3 linked regions of the Elephas maximus indicus genome follow. The protein of the gene in region 1 interacts with the protein of each later gene in a pairwise test. Links are inferred from orthologs where the notes say so. Each region holds a gene or a part of one and is shown on either strand. Other genes may lie near its edges.

Region 1 (3,745 bases):
AACCCTATGGGACAGTTCCAGGCTATTACAAGGGATCCCTATGAGTTGAAATGGAACAGACGGCACCTAACATCAACATTTAACTTTTGAAAGCTTCTCTAGATTTATTCTTTTAAATTGAGTCCATTAGCAATTTAAATCAGACTAAATTCTGACAAATGTCTCCAATTTAAGCAGTGTAAGTTATTTACCTGAAAACATATCAAAGTGTATTCTAAAGAGTAACATTATATAGAAACATAATAAATCCAAATCTGCCCCCAGCATCCAGAATATTAGGGAATTAGCACTAAAAAATTACCAGAGGCTTTAACCCATTGCAGTAAATACTAAGGAAGTCTAATAGAAGTGGAGCCCTGTCTGTGCAATAGTTAAGAGCTCAGCTGCTAACCAAAAGGTCAGCAGTTCGAATCTACCAGCTGCTCCCTGGAAACCCTATGGGGCAGTTCTACCTTCCTATAGGGTCGCTATGAGTTGGAATGAACTTGATGGTAACAGGTCTGCTTTTGGTTTTTTAATACAAGTATCTCACAAATCAAAATTCATTTCAGACTGATTCATTCTTTTTGTACCTTACCATAAAAAAATATGGAAACCAAAAGTTTATCCTTTCAACTATTAAAAAAAGCCAAATCTGCTGCTGTGGAATGGATTCAGACTCATGGAGACCTTATGTGTCGCAGTGAAACCGCTCCATAGGATTTTCAACAGCTGACTGTTTGGAAGTAGATCGCCAGGTCTTTCTTCCCAGGCCTTTCTGGGTAAACTCGAACCTCCAACTTTTTGATTAGCACAGCTGACCAAGTTAACTGTTTGCACCACCCCGGGACTCCTTTACAAGACACCTTATATCTTAGTGAGGGAGATGGGTTAAAGCAGCCAGCTCATTACTCACCAAGCTAAGTCTGGTACTTGGAAATCAAGACCTAAAAGGAATTTCCCATAGCTTATGTGGTTATTTTCTGTTGATATTTAAATGCTCAGATTTTACAAGGTGACCTCTAAGGTCCTCTAGTCTGTAACACTCTATTATTCTGTATGTTCTCAAACGTGCAATGCTTATCCAGGAAAAGCAGCAGCTTGCAGTGGCCAAGTCAAACAGTACCTGAATATTTACCAGCCATGCAAGTTAAGTAAGTTGCTTAGCCTCTCTTAGGCTGTTTCCTCATTTATAAAATGGGGTTAATAACAACTACCTGGCAAAGTTAAAAAAAGGACTGGAGATAATAGGTCAAATGACTAGCAAAGTGTTTGACCTAGGTTTTTTTTCTTTCCTCCCCACAATGCAGGTTGCTATTGCTACCCTACTCTAGCTCTATTATTCTTTTGCCAAGAATAGTGTGTGTAGGATCAACTGCACCAACTAAAATTGGGGTAAAGTAGACAGGAAAGTAGTAAAGGAACTGATTTACATTTTGGTACCAATTTGGCATGTATATTAAACAATTACTTTTGTTTTCTCTTTACAAAAGAGAATGTTGTTGCCACGGCGACTATGTCATTAATTTAAACACCAGACTTGTTTATAACCCATGTTGTGGTAAAATTTACATCTGTTCATAGTTTTTATACTGAGTTGGCATAATGTGGGTGACGACTGTAGAAAAGTGTCCAAGTTCCTCAGTACTTACACTTCCTTGATTGAGGAATATGGTGAGGTCAACTTTTTTCTTAAAGTGTATTCAAAACATACCACTGTGACTTCAGGCAGAGTGGCAGGAATCTCCCCATACCTCTCACTGCTCTACTGCCGGTGCTTCTCATTCTGAGACTGGATGGGAACCCCCAAACACAAGTTTCCTGTGGTCTTGGCAAAGTTTGCCCGCCAATTGGCGACTTCCATTTCCCTGCGCGGGGTGCCAAGCCCAAGGACAATCCTTTCAGGAGGGGCAGGGCTGGAGAGAACTATATTGGCAGCTCTTTGGGTTCTGAGGGCAGGAAAAGGAAATTAACTCCCTTCTTGACTCGGTGGGGAGGGTGAGAGAACCCAAAGCAAAGGGCAGGGGCAGTGCAAGAATGGTCTACGTTACCCCGCCGGTCTCGCAAGGCCTCCGCCAACCCGGGGAGGGAGGTCACACGAGCACCGGCGTCCTGGGATCAGAAAGGCAGCGGAGTAGCGCCTCGGCCCGTGGACAAACTCAAAGTGTCCTCCAGGGTGGGGAGGAAACTCTGGCCCCCTTCCCACTCCGTTTTGCTTTCCGGGGTGCGGCTGCCGGGCAGGAGGATGGCAGAAAACGGCCGCCAGGCTCGGAGGGGCACCAGGCCGCGCCCGTCTCCCGGGCCTCCTGCCGCAGCAGACCCACGGGGTGGGGTCGAGGCCGGAGTGAGGACGCCGCCGCCGCCCTGGGCTCAGCGCTCAAGCGGTCCCTCCCCGGCCCTCCTCGGGCGTCGTCATCCCTTCCCCCCACCGCGGTACCTGGACGGCACGACTGAGGAAGGTGCCCGCGTCAGCCGCCAGTTTCTTCACGTTAAAATCCATGATGTTCATCCTGGGCGGCAGCCGGGCGGAGCCGCCGGCTGACCTAGCAGGGAGGCGGAGGCGCCGCAGCCGGGCTGGCGCGCCGGGCAAGAGCCGCGGGGGCAGACGTGGTAGGTGGAGGGAGGCGGCGCCAGCCCCGCCGCTGCAGCTGTCGTTTCCGCGAAGGGGGAGGAGAAGGGTGGGGCGAGGGGAGAGAACAAGCGCCTCACAGCCGGCCGCGCGCGCCGGCGGCTGCGGCTCAGACACTGGGCCTGTCGCGTCGGTAGGGCAGCCGCTAACGTCGGCGTTAGCGGCGGCTGGCTAGCGGGAGGACAGACAGGCGTTCTGGCCGTGCTAAGCCAGGTTCCCAACGGAGGACGCAAGCGTCGGCCGCGGGGCGGAGCCTTTAGGGAGGTTATCGCGGGAACAGCGACCCCTTCAGGATCGCGGCGACCCAGCCGCGGGGCGCGCTGGGAGCTCGGTCCGGCTCAACCCGAGGGAGTGTCGCGTTCGCTGCCAGGGGCTCTTTGTGGGATCCCCGCACTGCTGCACGTTTACAGTTCAGCTCCTGAGAACTAAGAGCAGCGATAACCCCAATTCTTTTTGTTTTAAGAGCAAACACGGAAATTATTGTATATAATTACGTTATGTACAAAATTAGAACCAAGAGGTTCTGGTCTTCTTGTAGCATCTGCGCCCGTCTGCCCCTGACGCCTGGATAGCGTACGGCGGAGGTTTTCAGAAGTGTTGTATTTAAAGTTCCCTCCCAGCCTATTGACCGTTCATTTAGCAAAATTGAGTACGTACTGTGTGCCACGCACTGAGCCAGGTGCTGGAGATAAACTGTGCTAAATGAGAGACAGTGTCCTGCCCTCTAGGAGATCTCAGTCTGGCTACTTGACAACCTCCGGGGTCTTCTCCGCTCCCACCAGAAGCCTTGTAACTATTTGCTTTGTGACTGCTTTAAAGCAGCTTGCACACGTGGGACTGCAGGATCAACACTAGGCGCATCAACGTACGGTACCGGGACACAAAGTGCCCGGTGGAGGACACAAAGAGATATAAAATGGTGAGTGAGATAGGGTAACGCTAACGAATCAGCGCGGGGAATTTTAATAACAGATGAGAATATGATGTGAAGCAGTTGAGGAATCTATAATTCCAAGTAACCTCTTAATTAAGCAATCTTCACAATACAGTTTATGTTTGCACTAAGTAAAAAAAGAAAAACAGGTGTAAGCATGGAAGGGGAGAGAGACATTTGTAGAGAAACGTTTGTATTTCAAG
Region 2 (3,745 bases), on another chromosome or scaffold:
TAACCAGGAGCCTGGGATACTGAGGTTTTCCTTCTCCACACAGAAGGCAACTTCTTGGCAGCCAGAGCTGAAGTTAATAGATATGCACTAACTGACAAAACAAATGATGGTGCCAATAAAGTGGGTTCCTCCCCTCCTCCCCCCCACCCCCCAATGAAACACAGTGAAAAAGCAGGTTTATTAGCTCCAGGAAAAGGAGCAAAGGTACCCATCTCTCAGGCTACTCCTCACGTTCTCTGTACAAGCTCTACTCAGCCCAAGGGTCCGTCCAGCCCCTCCCCTTCTGGGGTGGGAAACAGCTAGGTGCCAGATGGCGAGGCTCCAGGCCGTTCAGCAGCAACACCTGGCATGGCTGAGGCAGCCTCATAGTCTGCGATGCGGCGCTGTACCAGGGCAGGCATGAGCTTCACATAAGCGGCCATGAGACGGTGGTTGGAATGGATCAGCTTCCCAGCACAGCTGTGCAAACAGGCCTCCTAAAAAGAAGATAGGGTGGAAGTAGGGGCCAAAGGGGTCCTGTCAGGCCCCATCTCCTTCCTTCCCCAACCCCAGCCTAGGGGTGAAGGCCGTGAAAAGGCCAAGGCCAGAAGTGGAAATGAGTGGTGGGGTTGGGAAGCTGACTACCGTGAACTTTGAGGATCGAGGATAACCTCCCTAACCCTACTCAGGCCCCCACCTCCTCAGCGTCCAGAGCTCGGTGGTGCAGGCTGGGCACGCAGCGCTGGAAGCAGAGTTCTGTCATCCGATTGTAGACCAACAGGAAGTCCCGCAACTGCCGGTAAAAGGGACCAGGAACTCAGCGATAAGGTGTCCCTCAATTCAGCCCAGCCTCCCGGGGTTGCCCTGGGTCGCGCACCACAGCCTGAAGTTCTCAGCCCTCGGATCCCTGGCTCTTTGGGGTACCCGCGACGTTAACAGGCATGGGAGCTGAAGGTATGGCTCTGGAGCAACTTAATCCCGACTCACGTTTCTCAGCTGCTGCTGCGGCTCCATCACGCCGCCGCCGCCCGCCTACATCTCTTCCGTTTCAGCTTGAAAACACCCCGGAAGTAATCTCTGGCCGTTCCCCAAGGACTGAGGGGTTGGCTCAAGGATCGCCCTGCCCTCGGCAGCCAACGTCACTTCCGCCCTTATAATCTGCGACGTGGCCGGCTTCTTCTGCCCGGGAGGGGACGTCACTTCCGCCGAGTCCCTGACCTGCGGCTAGGATCGCGACGGGAACTGGAGCCCGAGGTCCCCGCGCCGCCCGGGTCTGGCGCCCTGAGGGGAAGAACGGCCCGGCCCGAGGTGAGAGGGACATACTTGGGCGAGAGGGAGTTGAACGCACAAACCTGAGGGCAAGATGCTCCTGAGCACTGGGGAAGGATGAGCGCACACCTGATGCCCAGGTGAATGGGGGAGGGGCGGGGACTCACACACCTGGGAAGACATAACTGACTTTGGAAGGGATCACTTATGTCCTGGAAGGAAGAGGCTTTTACCAGAGGCGGGAAACATACACCAACTGATTCAACTAAGGCCTGGTAGGGAGGGCCTGAGAAGGAGAAAGAGGTGCGTGGGATGGAGGAAGGAGCGACCACTTGAAGGAAGGGGGAAGAAACACTAAAGGAGTGGTAAAGGACAAGCAGTGCAGCACATACCTGAATGGCGAGTGGGCACCAGAGCCCTGGGAAGGGGTTCATCTCCTGGTGGGAGGAGGGGGGAAGACACACCTGAATGGAATAAGCTCCAAGAGGGCACAGACTTTATCTCTGTTGTTTACTGCTGTATTCCCAGGGCCTCAAATCGTGCCTGACACAATGCAGGCACTCATCTAGCATCTGTTGAATGAATGAATGATTACCTGAGTCCTGGTGGGCTTGGGAGGTTATGAGAAGACACCTGAGACCTAGGTGTGCATGTATAAAAATGTGCACCTTGGAGAGGATAAATTCATATATCTAGGGAAAGGAGTGGTAGCTGAACCCAGGACATGCTTAAGTGCTGGGGATAACCTCTAAAACCTCAGAAATGGCAAGAGAGGTCTTCCCCTTCTGGAGTGCTGGCAACTTCCCAAAACCACCTGTGTTGGGCTTTGCAGGGCCCAGGGGTGGAGACTTTGACTCCAGTCCCTGCCCCAGCCATGACGGACGGGATCTTAGGGAAGGCAGCCACAATGGAGATCCCTATTCACGGGAACGGTGAAGCTGGGCAGCTTCCTGAGGATGATGGGCTGGAGCAGGTGCTTTTCTTTGATTCTTCTCCTAATCAAATCCCAACTCAAACTCTGGGCTCTTATTCCATTCCAGTAGCCTTTCCCTTATCTAACTCCTGTCAATCTTTTTATAAATCTTCATTCTGATTCTGTGCAGATATCCCTTGCTCTCTCTGTGATGCTTCAATCCAACCTTGTTCCCACCCCCAAAATGATTCAGCTGCCCCTATGTTCCTGAAGCCTCCCTCTTCTCTGGCCTATAGGACCTCCAGCAGGTGATGGTGTCAGGACCCAACCTTAATGAAACCAGCATTGTGTCTGGTGGCTATGGGGGCTCTGGTGATGGACTCATCCCAACAGGTATGAATAATCAGAGACAAAAAGCTTGAGTCCACAGTGGGGACAGGAATGGTTCTGGGGAGCTTAGGATATGCCTAGGGACACTTGAATTATGTCTGGCGGTCTTGGGAACTCCTGCCAGTATGAACCCCAATGTATTCAGCCGAAGACCAGCTGCCAGCGTTGGCCTTCTGCTACCACTTGCTACTTAGCCCCTCAGATGCACCTTTTTATCCTTTTTCGACTGCCACCACCTGAGCCAGGTTAAGATGTCTAGTTCACAGGAGTTCCCTTGGTTTGGAGCTTAAGACTTATTTGGAACTTTGTGAGACTTCTCGGGGTTTTACTTCAGACTCTAAAGTTTAGAGGAACAAACAGCCCTGAACCTTACACAGACTGGGATTCCACATGGGAAAGTCACCAGGTTTCCTGTTACCAGATCCCATCATCATTGACCCCATCAGAAGATGGCCAGAGGAACTCATGGAGATGTATGCTGGGATTTAGGTCTTGGGGTGCAAGGTACTAGTTCCCCCTAGTGAGCAGGAGGATCTCATTGTGTCTGAAGCATTCAGCTGCTTCAGAGATGTCATTTTTATGTGCTGGGAGGGAAGTATGGATGGGGCCACAGAGGTGTCTGGTTGTATCTGAGAGAGGCTGGTGTCAGAGAACTTGGTCCTTTAGGGTCTGGCCGGCATCCATCTCACAGTGCCACTCCCACTGGCCCTGGAGATGAGGTGGCTCGGGGCATCGCTGGAGAGAAGTTTGACATCGTCAAGAAATGGGGCATCAACACATACAAGGTGGGACTCAAACAACTTTTCCTATCTTCCAAACTTCCTTGGGTACCCTTTTCCCTTCTCCCCAGACCCCAATGTCCCATCTATGGCTTAGACCAGGAACCTGGGGATGCTGGGGCAGGTACCTGTTGTGGGAGGGTGCTAGGGTCTCTGACCTATTCCCCTACTTCCCAATCAGTGTACAAAGCAGCTGTTATCAGAGCGATTTGGCCGAGGCTCCCGGACTGTGGACCTGGAGCTAGAGCTGCAGATTGAGTTGCTGCGTGAGACGAAGCGCAAGTATGAGAGTGTCCTGCAGCTGGGCCGGGCACTGACAGCCCACCTCTACAGCCTGCTGCAGACCCAGCATGCACTGGGTGATGCCTTTGCTGACCTCAGCCAGAAGTCCCCAGAGCTTCAGGTGCCTCAGCCA
Region 3 (3,745 bases), on another chromosome or scaffold:
CTCGCATCTACAGAGCTGACAGTGCTTAGGACAGTGCCTGCACCGAGGAAGCTCTGTGTGTTTGTTAAAGTAGAGGCGTGAAGAATCGTGGAAAAAATAAAGCAAGGAATAGGGGTATTGGTGATAGGTGGGGACTTTGAACTTTGTCCCTAACAAAGGGCCTGGCACGAAGTAGATGCTCAATGTTTATTGAAAGAATAGATGGGTGGATGCGCCGTATTTATAAGTTACCCACCGTTACGGACCATTTTCTGTGTGCGAAACACTACGTTGAGTGCTTTGCACTTAAATGCATTTAATCCTCATGATAACCCATTGAGACGGGCACTTTTATTATTCCTGTTTTACACAAAAAGAAAACCGCGTCCAGGCTGGGCACCAGGTCTGGGTTACACATGGAGGAAATCGCCGCACACGGTCAGGCTCCCCTCTTCATCCCTGACCTCTTCCCCACTCCCCCTCGTCTCAGCTCCAACGGTAACTTCCTTTCCCCATCCCACCACGGTCATTCCCACTCTTGGACAAGCTATTCCTTCTGCCTTGAACGACCCCTCTCAGGCCTTTTCCTGGCCCCTGTTCTTGTCATTCGTCTCAGCAAGAGGGTCACTTCTTCAGAGCCTTTTGCAGCCCACCATGCACTGGAGATCACAGGACTCTTGGCTGCTTTTTGAATCATGGCACTTATGACCGCCCAGTCATTTGTTTTTCCTGGTCTGTCTTCCTCTCTAGAAGACGAACTTCAGAAAGGCAGGGACCCTAGCACCTCGCATGAAATAGGAGCTCAACAAAATCCTGTTTATCAAACCAATTGGCCCCAGGACTACAAAGTTCCACCTCGGTTGTCCCCCTCCCATTCGTTCGGTGGATCAAGAAGGGCGTTAGTGTGTGCGTGTCGCGGGTGGGGGGACGAGGCCCTCTCCTGTTGGAAATTCTGGCCCAAGGAGCAGTCGGGGGGTGGGCCATGGTTCTGCACTGAGCGACTCGGACTCTGAGGTCAGCCGATAACCAAGCCGGGTCTCGTAGCCTAGTCGACTTCAAGGCCACCAACACCACCCGGACCTCTCCGCGGCTCCGCGCATGCCCCGTCCAGGCCCCTCCCGCGGCTCTGCGCATGCCCCGTCCAGGCCCCTCCCGCGGCTCTGCGCATGCCCCGTCCAGGCCCCTCCCGCGGCGCCGCGCATGCCCCGTCCAGGCCCCTCCCGCGGCTCTGCGCATGCCCCGTCCAGGCCCCTCCCGCGGCGCCGCGCATGCCCCGTCCAGGCCCCTCCCGCGGCGCGCGCATGCCCCGTCCAGGCCTTCCCCGTGGCGCGCGCACTTTCGGTCCCGGCCTCCCCCGCGCGCGTGACGCTGGGTCGGGAGGCAGGGCGGGGTCGGCTCCGCGGCTCGAGGGCCTTCCGCTCGCCGACTGGAGCCTCCCCGCGCCGGTCCCAGCGACGCCATGGAGCCCCGGGCGGTTGCGAATGCCGTGGAGGCGGGGGAGGAGGCCGCAATGATGGAGGCCCTGCGGACGTACAACCGGGAGGTGAGCGCGAGCCTTTGACGGGCCGGGCACTACGGTGGGCGCGCCGCGCGGCGGGGCTGAGCCTGCGGGACGGGCTGTGGGGGCGTCTGCGGGCGGGGGGGCGCGGTGGGGGGCGTCTGCGGGCGGGGGGGCGCGGTGGGGGCGCGCGGTGGGGGGCGTCTGCGGGCGGGGGGGCGCGCGGTGGGGGGCGTCTGCGGGCGGGGGGGCGCGGTGGTGGCATCTGCGGGCGGGGGGGCGCGGTGGGGGGCGTCTGCGGGTGGGGGCGCCGGGCCCAGCCGCCTGCTCAGAGTCGAGGCCGATGCTGCCGCCCCCCTGCGGGCGCGGTCCTGCCCCGGCTGGGGAACCTGAACGTCGTGATCCCTTGATCTCTCTCTGCAGAACTCGGAGAGCTTCACGTTTGAGGACGCGCAGCGGGAAGACAGGAAGGTGGGTGCTGGCCGGGGGTGGGGGGCTGGGCGGGGGCGGGCCTGGTGGAGCTGCTCCTCTCTCTGCAGAGACTGGCCGGCCTGCTGGTGTCGGCCCTGGAGCAGGGCCTGCCGCCCTCTCGACGCGCCACTTGGCTGCAGAGCCTTCGCATCCTGTCCCGGGACCGCGGCTGCCTGGACCTGTTCACCAGCCGCCCGAGCCTGCAGGCCCTGGCTCGCTGTGCTGGCATCTTCGTGTCCGAGGGACCTGACCCTGAGTCTCCAGACATGGACATTGTGCTTGAGGCCCTCAAGTGCCTCTGCAACCTCGTGCTGAGCAGCCCCGCGGCACAGGCGTTGGCTGCCCAGGCCTGCCTGGTAGTAAGGCTCTCAGAGCGTGTGCGGCTCTCCGGGCAGCGGAGCTTCCCGCATGATGTCCAGTTCTTTGACTTGCGGCTACTCTTCTTGCTGACGGCACTGCGCACTGACGTGCGCCAGCAACTGTTTCGGGAGCTGCAGGGGGTGCGCCTGCTGACCCATGCGCTGGAGCTGACGTTGGGGGCGTCCCCAGAGGAGAGCCCCCCTGAGTTCCTCCCTGCACAGGAGACAGAGCGGGCCATGGAGATCCTCAAAGTTCTCTTCAACATCACCTTCGATTTGGTCAAGCAGGAGGTGGATGAGGTGAGGGCTCAACTCACAGGTGCCTTTGATTTTGTGGGCATCAGATGAGAGAGGATTGGGGTTCCTGCCTCTTGGAGAAGAGGAGGGTCCCTTTTGAGGAGGGGCCTCAAGGAAGGCATTGGAGGGAGGCTGCGAGGGGAGGTGGTTTCTGGTTCTCCAGGCCCAGCAGGAACCAGAGTATGTGGTAGGAGAGGAAACAGGATTTCATCCCAAGGGACTGTGTTGACGTTCTTAGTTGGAAAAGTGCTGTTAGGAAAAGAGTAGAGGCTATTTAGCCCCACTGTTAGTAAAGTAAAGGTCACATTGGAGAGGACAAGGGCCCAGGACTAGGCTTGTTGGTAGGCTCAGTGGATGGAAGAGCCTTAGCTGGCAACAGCACGGGAGTGGGGTTCTTCTCTCCTCTAAGAACATGTTTCTGGTTAGGATGATGCTGCCTGTTACCGGCATCTGGGGATCCTTCTGCGGCACTGTGTGATGGTCTCGGCTGCCGGCGACCGCACGGAGGAGTTCCACGGGTGAGGGAGGGGCTTGAGGTGGGTAAGTGGGGGTGTGGGGTATGGGTTACAGGTGGGCGGGGCCTTGAGGTGGGTGGGTGGGGCTGTGGGTGGGGCTTCAAGGTAGATGGGGGTGGTGTGCATGTGGGCCTGCCTTGGCTGGGAAGGGGATGCTCAGACAGGGTTCTCAGTCTTGGCTGTGGATCGGGAGGCGGGGCAAAGAGAGCAGAAGGGACCCACCCTAGAGTCTGATTTCACCTGTCTGAGTGAGGTGGGCAGCAGCACCATTCAGAAATACCTGGGTATTCCTGGCACCACCAGGATCAGTCAGGGGAGGCGCTGACGCCTGGACCTGGGCTGATGAGCAGCCTCACGTGTGGTCTGAGAAGGGTGGCAGCTAGGACTGCACTTGCCGGACAGTTGTCCTAATTAAACCCCATCTGTCTGCAGCCATGCAGTGAATCTCCTGGGAAACTTGCCACTTGAGTGCCTTGACGTCCTCCTCACTCCGGAGCTGCACACAGGCTCCCTGGAGTTCATGGGAGTGAACATGGACGTGATTCATGCTCTCCTTGACTTCCTGGAGCGGCGTTTGGACCAGGTAGGCAGGAGGGACTGCTGTGCAGGCCCCTGGGGGTCTGACC

Evidence for each region.
Region 2: the proteins of SH3GLB1 (region 1) and ARFIP2 interact in binary tests that used the Homo sapiens proteins (3 or more experiments, as listed by UniProt). The link is inferred for Elephas maximus indicus from reciprocal best matches to the Homo sapiens genes SH3GLB1 and ARFIP2.
Region 3: the proteins of SH3GLB1 (region 1) and RIC8A interact in binary tests that used the Homo sapiens proteins (3 or more experiments, as listed by UniProt). The link is inferred for Elephas maximus indicus from reciprocal best matches to the Homo sapiens genes SH3GLB1 and RIC8A.

The regions. Positions count from the first base shown.
Region 1 is NC_064821.1:136,340,801-136,344,545, reverse strand, and holds the start of SH3GLB1 (endophilin-B1), read right to left. Parts: upstream 2,838-3,745; 5' UTR 2,489-2,837; coding exon 2,417-2,488; intron 1-2,416. UniProt on the Homo sapiens protein: May be required for normal outer mitochondrial membrane dynamics. Required for coatomer-mediated retrograde transport in certain cells. May recruit other proteins to membranes with high curvature. May promote membrane fusion.
Region 2 is NC_064825.1:60,136,008-60,139,752, reverse strand, and holds the start of ARFIP2 (arfaptin-2), read left to right. Parts: upstream 1-1,175; 5' UTR 1,176-1,388; intron 1,389-2,080; 5' UTR 2,081-2,122; coding exon 2,123-2,221; intron 2,222-2,457; coding exon 2,458-2,554; intron 2,555-3,217; coding exon 3,218-3,336; intron 3,337-3,511; coding exon 3,512-3,733; intron 3,734-3,745. Other genes in the region: TIMM10B (mitochondrial import inner membrane translocase subunit Tim10 B), read right to left, coding at 300-476, 677-772, 967-993. UniProt on the Homo sapiens protein: Plays a role in constitutive metalloproteinase (MMP) secretion from the trans Golgi network. May have important functions during vesicle biogenesis at certain cargo subdomains, which could be predominantly utilized by secreted MMPs, such as MMP7 and MMP2.
Region 3 is NC_064825.1:138,017,093-138,020,837, reverse strand, and holds the start of RIC8A (synembryn-A), read left to right. Parts: upstream 1-1,304; 5' UTR 1,305-1,438; coding exon 1,439-1,522; intron 1,523-1,900; coding exon 1,901-1,948; intron 1,949-2,016; coding exon 2,017-2,607; intron 2,608-3,030; coding exon 3,031-3,122; intron 3,123-3,551; coding exon 3,552-3,702; intron 3,703-3,745.